Oryzias latipes: one gene and its partners. The protein of the gene in region 1 purifies or fractionates together with the protein of each later gene. This does not show direct contact. Links are inferred from orthologs where the notes say so. Each region holds a gene or a part of one and is shown on either strand. Other genes may lie near its edges.

What was found.
Region 2: the proteins of heat shock 70 kDa protein 12A (region 1) and epb41l3 purify together in Homo sapiens (affinity purification with mass spectrometry; 4 studies listed by BioGRID and IntAct, with this or other methods). This does not show direct contact. The link is inferred for Oryzias latipes from reciprocal best matches to the Homo sapiens genes HSPA12A and EPB41L3.
Region 3: the proteins of heat shock 70 kDa protein 12A (region 1) and akap12 purify together in Homo sapiens (affinity purification with mass spectrometry; 3 studies listed by BioGRID and IntAct, with this or other methods). This does not show direct contact. The link is inferred for Oryzias latipes from reciprocal best matches to the Homo sapiens genes HSPA12A and AKAP12.

The regions. Positions count from the first base shown.
Region 1 is NC_019873.2:4,649,135-4,652,785, forward strand, and holds part of heat shock 70 kDa protein 12A, read right to left. Parts: intron 3,292-3,651; coding exon 2,660-3,291; 3' UTR 1-2,659. UniProt on the Homo sapiens protein: Adapter protein for SORL1, but not SORT1. Delays SORL1 internalization and affects SORL1 subcellular localization.
Region 2 is NC_019875.2:4,930,747-4,934,397, reverse strand, and holds part of epb41l3 (band 4.1-like protein 3), read left to right. Parts: intron 1-367; coding exon 368-465; intron 466-868; coding exon 869-1,044; intron 1,045-1,157; coding exon 1,158-1,336; intron 1,337-1,682; coding exon 1,683-2,267; intron 2,268-3,275; coding exon 3,276-3,332; intron 3,333-3,651. UniProt on the Homo sapiens protein: Tumor suppressor that inhibits cell proliferation and promotes apoptosis. Modulates the activity of protein arginine N-methyltransferases, including PRMT3 and PRMT5.
Region 3 is NC_019882.2:8,913,432-8,917,082, reverse strand, and holds part of akap12 (A-kinase anchor protein 12), read right to left. Parts: intron 875-3,651; coding exon 1-874. UniProt on the Homo sapiens protein: Anchoring protein that mediates the subcellular compartmentation of protein kinase A (PKA) and protein kinase C (PKC).

The DNA of each region.
Region 1 (3,651 bases):
GGCGTGTTTGAAGTGATTGCTGTTGGACGAGTGACTGCTTTCTAGACTATAAGAGCCTCTTTTCTCTGTCTGGTCTTCCAAAGGCCTCTCCAGGAGAGTACAGCAGAAAGGGAGGGGTCGGTGTTGACTTTTACCGCACCTTTATACATGATCCTATCCTTTCCTGTGCAGGTGGGGAGCAGCAGTAAAGATCAAACCTGCAGTGTCAACTCTTTGGGTGCATGGATCTAATGCTGGTCTATGACTTCAGTTTGATTCTCAGTGATTTCTGGTTCAGAAGAAAGAACCTCTGTGTTCTGATTGGCTGAGTAATCTTGACAGCAATTGGTGTCCATATCAAACAGTTGAAGTAAGGATTTCCTAAATAAGTTTTCATTATAGAGAGGATGGAACTGGTGCACAGTGTAAAAATAAGTACAGTCTCATTGCTATACCAACGTCCATGGCTTCAGTTCTTTCTAGTGATAGAGGAAAACTGGCGTGCTCGTCATTTCTGTGTCAAACACCTTCAGGCAATTGATGGGATGCAGGATGAATGTGAACAGATTCAAAGCCACGTCACTGAAGATCCCTAAAACGAGGTATTCAAGAAATAAAAACAAGGCCACACATCCATCTGTCTTGGCCCGGCATGCATGGCTGGTGCCAAAAACAGCTGTGAAATGTCCATGAAAAACCACACGTCCTCGGATTCTAAAGCTGCTCAAACAATGTTACAAATCTGTACAGTATTTCCTTTTTTGTATTTACAGAAATCCCTTGTTACATTTGGCTCGGCGTCTTCGTCATGCAATCGCAGCAGAGCTGAGGATGCTGGAGAGCGGAGAAAGCGTATGTGCACAGCGCAGATGCATGAGCGCATACAGGCGGCAGTTAGGCATGTTTGATGGCTCCACTTTCAGCCCCAGAATTCACCATTTGTGGGTCAAACTTTCCTGGCATTCTTCAGGGGACCACACTTTGCTTTGTTGACCACACAATCTGACGTGTGGGATTGTATTCTCTGCCTCATCAAATGTGCAGCACTGAAAACAGGACTTCAGGTAGCAGCTTTTGCTGTTAGTGGACATCATTAACAAGGAGTAGTAGTGAAAACTTTCCAGGATCAGGATTCAAATGTCTGCAGAGCTTTGCATCAGGAGAACAAAACAGTCTGCAGAAATAGAAAGTGAGAAAGCTAAACTAACAAACGGATAAGTTAATCAGATTAATCCCTTACTTTTTTGTGAGGCCTTTGACTTGTTTTCCTGTGTTCCAAGTCTTGCAGCTTTGCAAGCTCACATCTGGAAAACACCAAACTTGTTCTCCACATTTCTCTTGACTCTAGAGTCAAAACTACAGCTTTCCTTCAGTCGCTGACCACAACTGCACACTTTAACATCCTCAAGACAAGCAAAACAAGGCAGAATGTGCCATTCAAAGTAGGAAAAATACCTACTAAACATAATAAATTATAGATTTAAAATACTTGTGATTACATAATAATAAATGCTAAAAACATGTTTCAAGTTAGCCATTTATTCTGTTTTTTCAGTTACACATTCTTATTCTTTCATCAATTTAGCTTCATATTTCTGATTTCCTCCTGGTTTTCTTTCAGAAAAGTTTTGCTTTTGTGGTTAGTACGACTAAGAAAAGCTCCACGGCTCAATAACTGTCTGACTTAAAGAGAGGAATTTGATGCTACGGTTAAGAAACAAAGAAACCACAGACACGTGCTTCAGACAAAGGACGGAATCAAGCAGAACTTCAGCAACAGCCCCCTAAAACTGCACACTAAATAGTATTTTCATTTTTAAACCCAATACTAATTTCTCCATAAATTGAAAGCGTATAAATAAACGCAGAGCTGTCATCTGAACAGCGTGAAGCTGGAAGCAAACTGAACGGCTAAACAATGACCTGCTGTGACTAAGAAACTCAGAAGAACAACCATCCGGTGGATTCACAGCTTCAATCTGGACTGCTGTCCTGAAACACTTTATGGCTTTGGAAGGATCAGGAATCAAAATGAGTCAGCCTTCAAGCTCAACACAACGCCTTTAGACGGAGGATGAAATGGTCTTACAGTGTTCCCTCGCTACATGGCGGTTCATCTTTCACGGTCTCGCCGTTTTGCAGAATTCTTCAGAGCAACCTTTCATGCTTTGTTTTTTAACTTGTGCTGTGTTCTGATTGGCTGTGGATACTGTCAATCAACTTCCTCCTCGCGATCAGATCTTTGTTTTTATTCTATAATACTGGACTTATTTTTCTATGAAGGTTTAAACTTTGAGTCTCAACGGGAGAGAAAATGTTCATATCTGTGTGATGGAGGAGCATAAAGTGTGTAGCGAGCAGCTTTACAGCCTTAAAACAACTTTAGTTGTATACAGTGCAGATTTCACCAATGTGGGTTATTTTTAGAACGCACCTTTGGCGATAAACGAGGGAACACTGTACTACCATGGATGAACAAACAGTTTTAAAACTGATTTTGTTTAGAATTCTCTGGTAGGAGCTTTAGCCTAAGATCAGCTGTTCTGTTTTGTTTACTGGAGCTCATCAGAGAGTGACTGAGCCGCGGATCACCACTTCTTGTGTGTTTGAGTGTAAGCTGCATGATTTCCCTCTCGCTGCTCCCAGGACCTCTGGAACAGAATCTCTCTGAAGGTTGTATTTAATGGCTTAGGAAGTCAATGCCAGCCTTGACCGTGCGCCCGGTGGAAACGTCCACCGCCATGGCCCGGATCTCTGTGTCACCGAACTGCATGAGTGTCTGGATCTCGCGGCGCTGGGCTGTGCTTTCTGTTCCGCTCACATCCAAGCGCAGGGTCCCGCACTTCCTGACCCCGGGCTCGCTGATGAAGCTCACGCTCTCCTTTTCGGAGCAGTAGACATGGATGACGATGACCTGCTGGGACGGCTTTGCTGGCGTGTAGCTCCGTTTGACCATCTCACCCAACGCCACAGACTGGTCAGCGGCGATGAAGGTGTCGAAGACGTCGGTACACCAGCGTGTCCCGTCCTTCACCAGGAGTTTCTCTGGCGGGTGCTTACCCTCCACGAAGCGGTTGAGGACGCCCACCCCGTAGGTCAGCGGGGAGCGGCGGACCTTGATGACGCTGGGGTCAAGGCCGAACAGCACGGCGCCTTTGAGGATGGTAAGACCGACGTCATGAGGGATGATGATTCTGCAGCGACCCTGGAGCATGTTCTGCACGGCCTGCTGCAGCAAGGGCGACTCAGCAAAACCTCCAACCAGGAAGAGGAACTTAATGTCGCACACCTCCGGCTTCTCAAAGAGCTCAGCTATGAGGGGACAAACACAAAATAGTAAATCATACAAATACATCCATTCCTAATTCCTACCAGAGTAACAACATAAAACAGCTAAAATGGGTTTATATATGAATATTTTTTGTCACTTTCATACACTTAGATTGGTACTTCCAACTCAGCCAATCCTCAACACTCTTCTGACATTCACACAGGAGTTTCTTTAAACTCTGATCATCTTTTGATCTACTCTAGTAAAGTGTTCCCAGTGGTCTTTTGATGATGAATATGAAAATCAAAACGTCTGTGACATTTTCTAGGACATAGTTTCGGCGGGAGTTCTTCAGAAATTAAACCATCAGTTGTGGGTGGGACGGTTGGGGCAGAGCAACC
Region 2 (3,651 bases), on another chromosome or scaffold:
TAGTCTAATGGTTTAAACTAGTCTAATGATTTAAACTAGTCTGATGGTTTACACCAGTCTGATGATTTAAACTAGACTAATGGTTTAAACTAGTCTAATGGTTTAAACTAGTCTAATGGTTTAAACTAGTCTAATGGTTTAAATTAGTCTAATGATTTAAACTAGTCTAATGGTTTAAACTAGTCTAATGATGTTTATTTAGTTCAGACTTTTTTCCTTGTAATTGTTAAAAAAATGAGTAAAGTCTGGATTAGTTTTGTGAAAAGCAGTTGATAAATGTTCTTTATCTGACAAACATCATGGGGTTTTCAGGCTGTTCTGCATATCATTTGACAGGAACTGATCTCATTATTTTCCTATCTTGCAGTTCGAGCAGTTTGAAAGCACAATTGGCTTCAAGCTCCCAAACCACCGTGCTGCCAAACGGCTATGGAAGGTGTGTGTGGAGCACCACACCTTCTTCAGGTAGGAGTGTGACCCTTTGGAACTGCAGCAGGTGCAGCTTTATTGAAAAACATCAGGTTAAAGTCGGTCGACAGGAAAGGATGGGATGCCTTGTTAATGAAAGACGGATGGTGGGAGTGCACGCGGCTCTCTGCTGTTTTCTGGCTTTGGGTGATGACAGAAGTGCAACCATGCAGTTTATTCAGTCGCTGTGTGTGATTTCTCTGTAGGGAAGGAAAGGCAGAGTTTAGGCTCTTAATTAGAACTTCATGCAGACTTGCTGCTTTAAGCAGAACGTGGAAAGTTTACACCGAAGGCTCCCTGGAGATGGTTCTAACGAAGAGTTTCAATGTTTTTCACTGCTTGTTTTAATTCTGCTGTTATTTCCAGTTTGATTAATGGGCACATTTGAAACCGGTTACAGGCTCGTGTCTCCAGAGGCCCCTCAGAAAAAGTTCCTGAGCCTGGGCTCCAAGTTCCGTTACAGCGGCAGGACGCAGGCTCAGACCCGCAGGGCCAGCTCCCAGATCATACGACCGGCGCCGTTCTTTGAACGCACCTCCAGCAAGCGCTACAACATGTCCCGCAGCTTAGATGGAGGTGAGGCGGCCCAAGCACCTTTTAACCCCCCTCCCCCCCTTATCATAAGAAGCATGTGCACACGTGAACCGCTCTTCACATTTCTAACATACCTGCATCCTTCTGGGCTCCAGCTACCATTGCAGAGAACCACGACACTCTGATGAAGGACAGCACTGCCGGCGGAGATACCAAAGCCGCCGCCATTATCACCACGGTAACCACAGAGAGGGAAGAGAAGACGGAGCAGGAGGATGCTCAGAAGAACTCCACTGACACGCATGAGGCAGGTGCCACATCACAGGAACCAAAGGTAAGCGGCCGTCTCACCTCTGCAGCATTCAGGCGCCCACAGCGCTGTTCTCACTTTGGGAGGGGGGGCTGTCAAATAAACAGTGGGATAAAGGGGCAGTTTTGCTTTTGGAAACCTTCTTAATTTTCTTTTCTTTAAAAAATCCTTTACATGCCGCTGCTGTAGGTTAGGTCTGACTGCTTCTCATCTTGTGTACGCTTTACTAATTGCTTTTTTTCCCTTGTCCTTCCTTTGACCCCACAACACACACACACACGTGCGTGCTGGTGTGCATTCATCTCCTCCCCATTTTGCTTCTCCTCACCGACGCACACGTCGCGCTTCGGTTGACCTTTCCTTCCATCAGCGCCCCCTTCATGCGTACACAGCCGACCCGCTCCGCTCTGAGCTCTCGTTGCCGTCATCTCCTGTTCTGTCCACCAAAGTGCGGCGGAGGCGCCGGGAGAGCGCCCATAAGAGGGCTTCATCAGTCAGTCCAGCCAAAGGCGGCATCGGGTGCCGCCGCCGGCAGGCTCGCGCCGACCGCAAAGCCGCTCTGCTGGAGGAGCAGGAGCTCTTGCTTTCGGCGCGAAAGCAAAGGCTGGAGCAGGGCAAAAGCCGCAGTGGCACGCTCTTCTCCTTCTCCCTACACCTGCCTCACCTGTCATCCATCCTGGATGACGATGGTTACATCACCTTTCCAGACCTTTCTGAGATGAGCTTCCTCCCCCACTGCGCGCAAAACTTCCTGCCCATTAAGTCCCCATCGCTCATTCCCTGCTTCCTCTTCATCTTCTTCTTCCTCCTCTCCACCTCCTTCTCTGTACCCTACGCTCTCACCCTCTCCTTTCCCCTGGCTCTGTGCCTCTGCTACCTGGAGCCCAAGGCAGCCTCCCTGACCGCCTCCATAGCCCAGGGCTACCATGACCATGACAGTTCAGAGGAAGAGGAGGTGTGTGCGTACGCCTGTCTACACCAATGCCCGCCCACGGCGGTCTGTTTACTCCACCTAACTCCATAACTGTCCTGTTTCACCTGTTCAGAGCTGACCTGCAGACAGTGTGTGTGTCCCAGTGTCCCACTCTCTGCCCAGTCATGCTCCCATCCTGTAGCAAACCTCATCATCTGCATCGCCGCCTTACAGAGGTTGAGCTGCAAGTCTCACCATTTCATTGGCTGCTCCACCTTAGGAAGGATTAGTCACAAAATCGCCACCCTTTCTTTTAACTCCCCTAAAATAAAGTCGTTCCGGTATAATCTCATTATCTGCAGAGTGATGTCAGCGCCTAACACATCTCGCTGTTACCTTAATATAAGGGTTAGAGTCACCCCACCACCACCACCACCATGGTGTGCACCTCAGACCATCAGCTGCATGCAAGACCTGTCCATGTTTGCAGCCACTTTCACTCATGCAATCAGTCTCTCAGCGGCGCCGTCCGGCTCCAGCAAAGCAGCAGAAGTGGAGAGCAAACCCAGCTAGATGTTTGTGGAATGTTTTTTTCCATCTGGCCACTCCCCTCCATCTGATCAATGCAGCGTGAGGCGCGGTGAAGCGGAGCGACCGCGGCACGTCTCAGGGAGGAGGGAGGTTGTGAAGTGTTCATGTTTCCGACCCTGAACCCTCATGGCTGTGGAGAAAACCAGGCGCTCTCCAAATTGAAAAAAATCTTCATCAACGATCGATCTAAGTGACTGATTGATGGTTTCATCTTCCTCTGAGTCTGTTTTGCTTGTTTGTTTCATTTGCATTTAGTCGTTTTGTTTGCTTCCAGTTCCTCTGCTGTTCTTGTCTGATGATGTGTTGCTCACAGTTCCAGCAGTCAGAACATTCCCATTTGTTCCATTTGTGGTTATGAAGACGCTTTCCTGACAGAAATGACATATTTGCACGTTTACAAGTTGGGTCCTTCTGGTTTTTTTCCCTGCTTGCCCCTTGGATTGGTTTGTTCTGCGGAAGCAGACGGACAGCGAACGTACTGACTTTGCCTTTGATGGAGACATTACTGTGACAGAGGTTTGTATTTTAAGCCAAACACGCGGGCCTCACATTAGTCTGTGACATTTATTGAAATTTTAGGAGTGATGCATGCACTTTCAGTTCTGCACGTCATGCATGTAACGTATGGTGCTCCTTTTTTTTCCCATTGTCGACTGAATTGTTCTTAGTTTTGGCTGTTTTCACTGTCTTTAAAGTTGAAAACGAGTCCATGAATCCATTATGCTGTTACTGTATTGCTGCAAACTGCAGTCTCCAGATGGTTTTAGTTCAAGCTTTGATGTGAAATGTTTTGAAGGCAGCTTTATTTTTTTGTCTATAAATGGAATAAATAGTG
Region 3 (3,651 bases), on another chromosome or scaffold:
TCTGCCTTTTGGTCTTCTTGTTTGCTTTCATCTGTAGTTTCTGTAGGAGACGAGGCTTCAGCCGGAGCTTCTGTGGCTGTGTCGGATTTTTCTTCTTTTGGAGGGGTTGTCCCCTCTTCTTTAGACTCAGGTTGTTCCTCGACAGGAGTAGCCGATGCCTCATTCTTGACTTCTTGTTCTGAGTCAGTGTTCTCCTTAGTTTTCTCTTCTTTTACATCATTTTCCTCCTTTACATCAGCTGTCTCGTTTCCCTTTGCTGCTGCCTCCTCCTCCTCTTTCATCCTCTTGATGCTGCTTTTCTTTCTCAGGTTAGAGAAGAGCCCAATAAAGAAAAGCTTCCTGAAGGGCGATATGGTCTCCTTTGGTGTAGGAGGGGTTTCACTTTCCTTTTCAGCTTCTTCTGCCTTGGCTCCTTCAATGGACGCTTCAGCAGAAGCACCATCAGTGGTTTCTGCCTTTTCTGGATCCTTAGATGTTGACGCCTCCCTTTCTGTTTCCATTGTCTCTGTTTTGCTGTCCTCCTCTTCAGTTTCAGTCTCCTTCTCCTTTGCTAGTTCTTCAGTTTCACTGACCTCCTCTCCTTCTTTGTCTTTAACCGTCAGCAGCTTCACAGGGTCTGTTTCCTCACTTTTATCCTTCTTAACTGTGAATTTCAAGCCCACAATGGTAAAGATTTTCTTGAAGCCAACTTCACCTGCATCCTCTCCTTTTTCCTCTGTTGACTTGACTTCTATGGATGAAATATTGTTTGCCTCTGGAGACTCTTTATCCAGTTTCTCCCCATTCAGCTGGGGAGTCACTTCATCTGGGAGAGTGTCCATATTCTCTGGGACCTCTTCTTTTGGAGCCACAGTCCCACCATCTGGCTGGCCCACTGAAAAAGAAGGAAAGAAAGATGTTTCTGTGAAATGCTGATTCAATTTTATCAAATCAGTTGATTACTTGTTCATGCAGTCCTGTAATCCTGCAGAAGCATCACTTATGATGTTCACATGACCTTCATACAAAGTTACGATTTACAACATTCATTTGAACAAATTAAAGAAAGGATTAGGAAATCAAATCACTTGCATCTACCATAAATTCTGCTCTGTGGTTAATTCTTAAACCTTTAGCGAAACTAGGGAGTCAAAAGTTAAGTAATGTGAAACAGAAGTTTCTGACTGAGACTCCAACTTTGTGGATTTAGAAATTTAATTACAATAAAAAATCTGTTTGGACTAAGTTGCTGTAAAAAAATAGTGATAAACTTCCATCAAATGAGGCAGAGTTCACTTCATTTATTTGGTCTGATCTGCACATGAGCTGCTTTTAAAACCCAGATTTAAACAATTACCGAGCAGTCACTCCTTGGAAGTTAAACATTTGCCTGACAAGTATTGCAGTTAAAGTTGAGATAACAGACACAAACCACACATACAAGACGTCTCTCTGCCATGTCTGTCTGTGTTTTGACAGAAGGAGGCGTGGGGGGAATTATGGCCTGCCAGATGCACTGCAGTCTGGGAAAACCTCACATCTGATAGCCATGGGCTCTCCAGAAAATTCCCTAAATGTTTTATGTCTAGGTATCAGCTTACAGGATTACACATAAAGAAACATATCTGCTGTTTTAAGGCGTGCAAACTGTGGGAACCACTCTGAAACTGCCATTAAACAGCAGGGCAGCATAAAGACAATAAAGCATATTGGGATGATGGTTAATTATGCGAGTAAATCTCTTTAATTTATGAAAGCTGTTGGCTTACACAAAAATGTACAGCTGGGTTCCCACATCTGCCTAAATAATTTCCTAAATTATAGACGTAAAGCTTTTCAGAGTGATTCCAAGAAAATTAAAATATAAAACAGCTTGCTAAATTGACAGATAGATGAAATTAACTAAAACCTTTGGATTTGAACAAAGGAAAAGATCTGAATGAAGGCACGCCCGCTTCCAGGGAGGAATCCGAGCAATGTCTCACACCCCATTTTTAAAGAAAATTATTTTGGGATGCCCTAAATATAAACCGAGTTTGAATTCCAGGAGGTCCGAGGAATGTTTATTTGTTTTTTCATTCACGCCCCATCTTGTCTCCGGCCATGATGCATTCAAACCAAACAATACAGGACTCCTCACGACCCCTCCTTAAAATAAAGTCTCAGTCCCCTTGACCCACATTCCACCACAGCAGGATGGATAGTCAGCCCCCCTCCCTTGCTAAAGCATACACAAACATACAAGCACAATAGACTGGGCCCTTTCTGCTCTTTGAAAATAAAGAACTTCTAATTTATGATGCAGAAGTTTAGTAACTTTCTCAAAGCACTAAAAGCACTGGGGTGGTTCTAATTGACTCAATTGCCTTATGCTGGGTAGGGGGGCTCATGCTCCCTTTTGGGTGTTCAAACAGTTTTAATGCCGCGAGCTGACCAGAAACTTCACAGAAGCAGGACAACTCAGCATCTAAAGACGTGTGTGGGAGTTGCACATCGCACTCATAATGAAAGAGGAGCCCTGTTGATTTAACAGACTACCGGCATCTTTCTCTCAGCTTTTTGATCTTTGGCTCCCTGCTTCTTCTTTGAGCCGCACAGCTGTTAACATCTTTCAAGTTGTTTTTTTGTGCAAAAGCTGGGGTACTTGGGGAGAGCTGGTTGCATGGGGGTGACAGGGAAAAGATGCAGGAGCATGGGTGGGGTTAGCCACTTCACAGGGTGTCACATATCTCAGATGCTCATAGTTAAAATTCCCCTCTCTGCTGGAGATGGGCAACACTTGGAAGCCAAAAACCGATTGTCTCCAGTGAAGCCAGATAGTGTTTCCGATGTGGTCGCTCCAACTTTGTGGAGGGAGGGGGGGTGTTTGGTGGGGGTGGACGAGGCGGTTGGAAGTTTGAATAGCTGCTATTCTCTGAGCAAACTTTGAACAAATGTATGCAAATCCTTGACATAGTGTCTGCAGTTTGGACTTAGACAAAAGTGGTCAGTTAAAATAAAGAAAGCAGAGCAGGGTCACCCCCACCCTCCCAATCACCCTCCCCCCAGCGGAGACAAGACACAGCGACCCCTTTCTGTCTTCGAGGTGTGGTCAGTGTCTCTGCTGATTCGGGGGGGGGGGGGGGGGGGGGGGGGCAAACCAACAGCTTCACCGTTATTCCCTCATTTCAGACAATATCCGACTATTGAATCAGCAGGAAAGGGGTTGAAACCATCACTCCTAGCTGGAAGTTGTGAAGAAGAATCAGTGTTGGAATGCAATTGATTTAACATGACACCCCCCTCCTCCCTCTTTCCCTGCTCTGGTTAGATTTAATAACCCCCACTGGGAAATAGGATCCCACTCTAATTTGATAAAACACCTCACATGATGTGATGCTGCCTCAGAGGGAAGTTAAATCCGCCGTAGGATCATCAGTCAACTTTTGGGACGAAGACTTCTGATGGACATTCAAAGCGTGGTTGACTTTTCACCCACTGAAGATCTGCAGCACTCAGAGCAAAAACCGCCTCCGACTGAAAACCACTCATCCGTGCAGCTCATTCACCAACCACAAAGCCTTTCAACCACACCCTCAGAACAACAATGCTTTTGACCATCAAGGATGTTTTGAAATCATATGAAATCGTAAAATTATAGGGGGGAAAAGTGATACAAGCACCATGAAACAA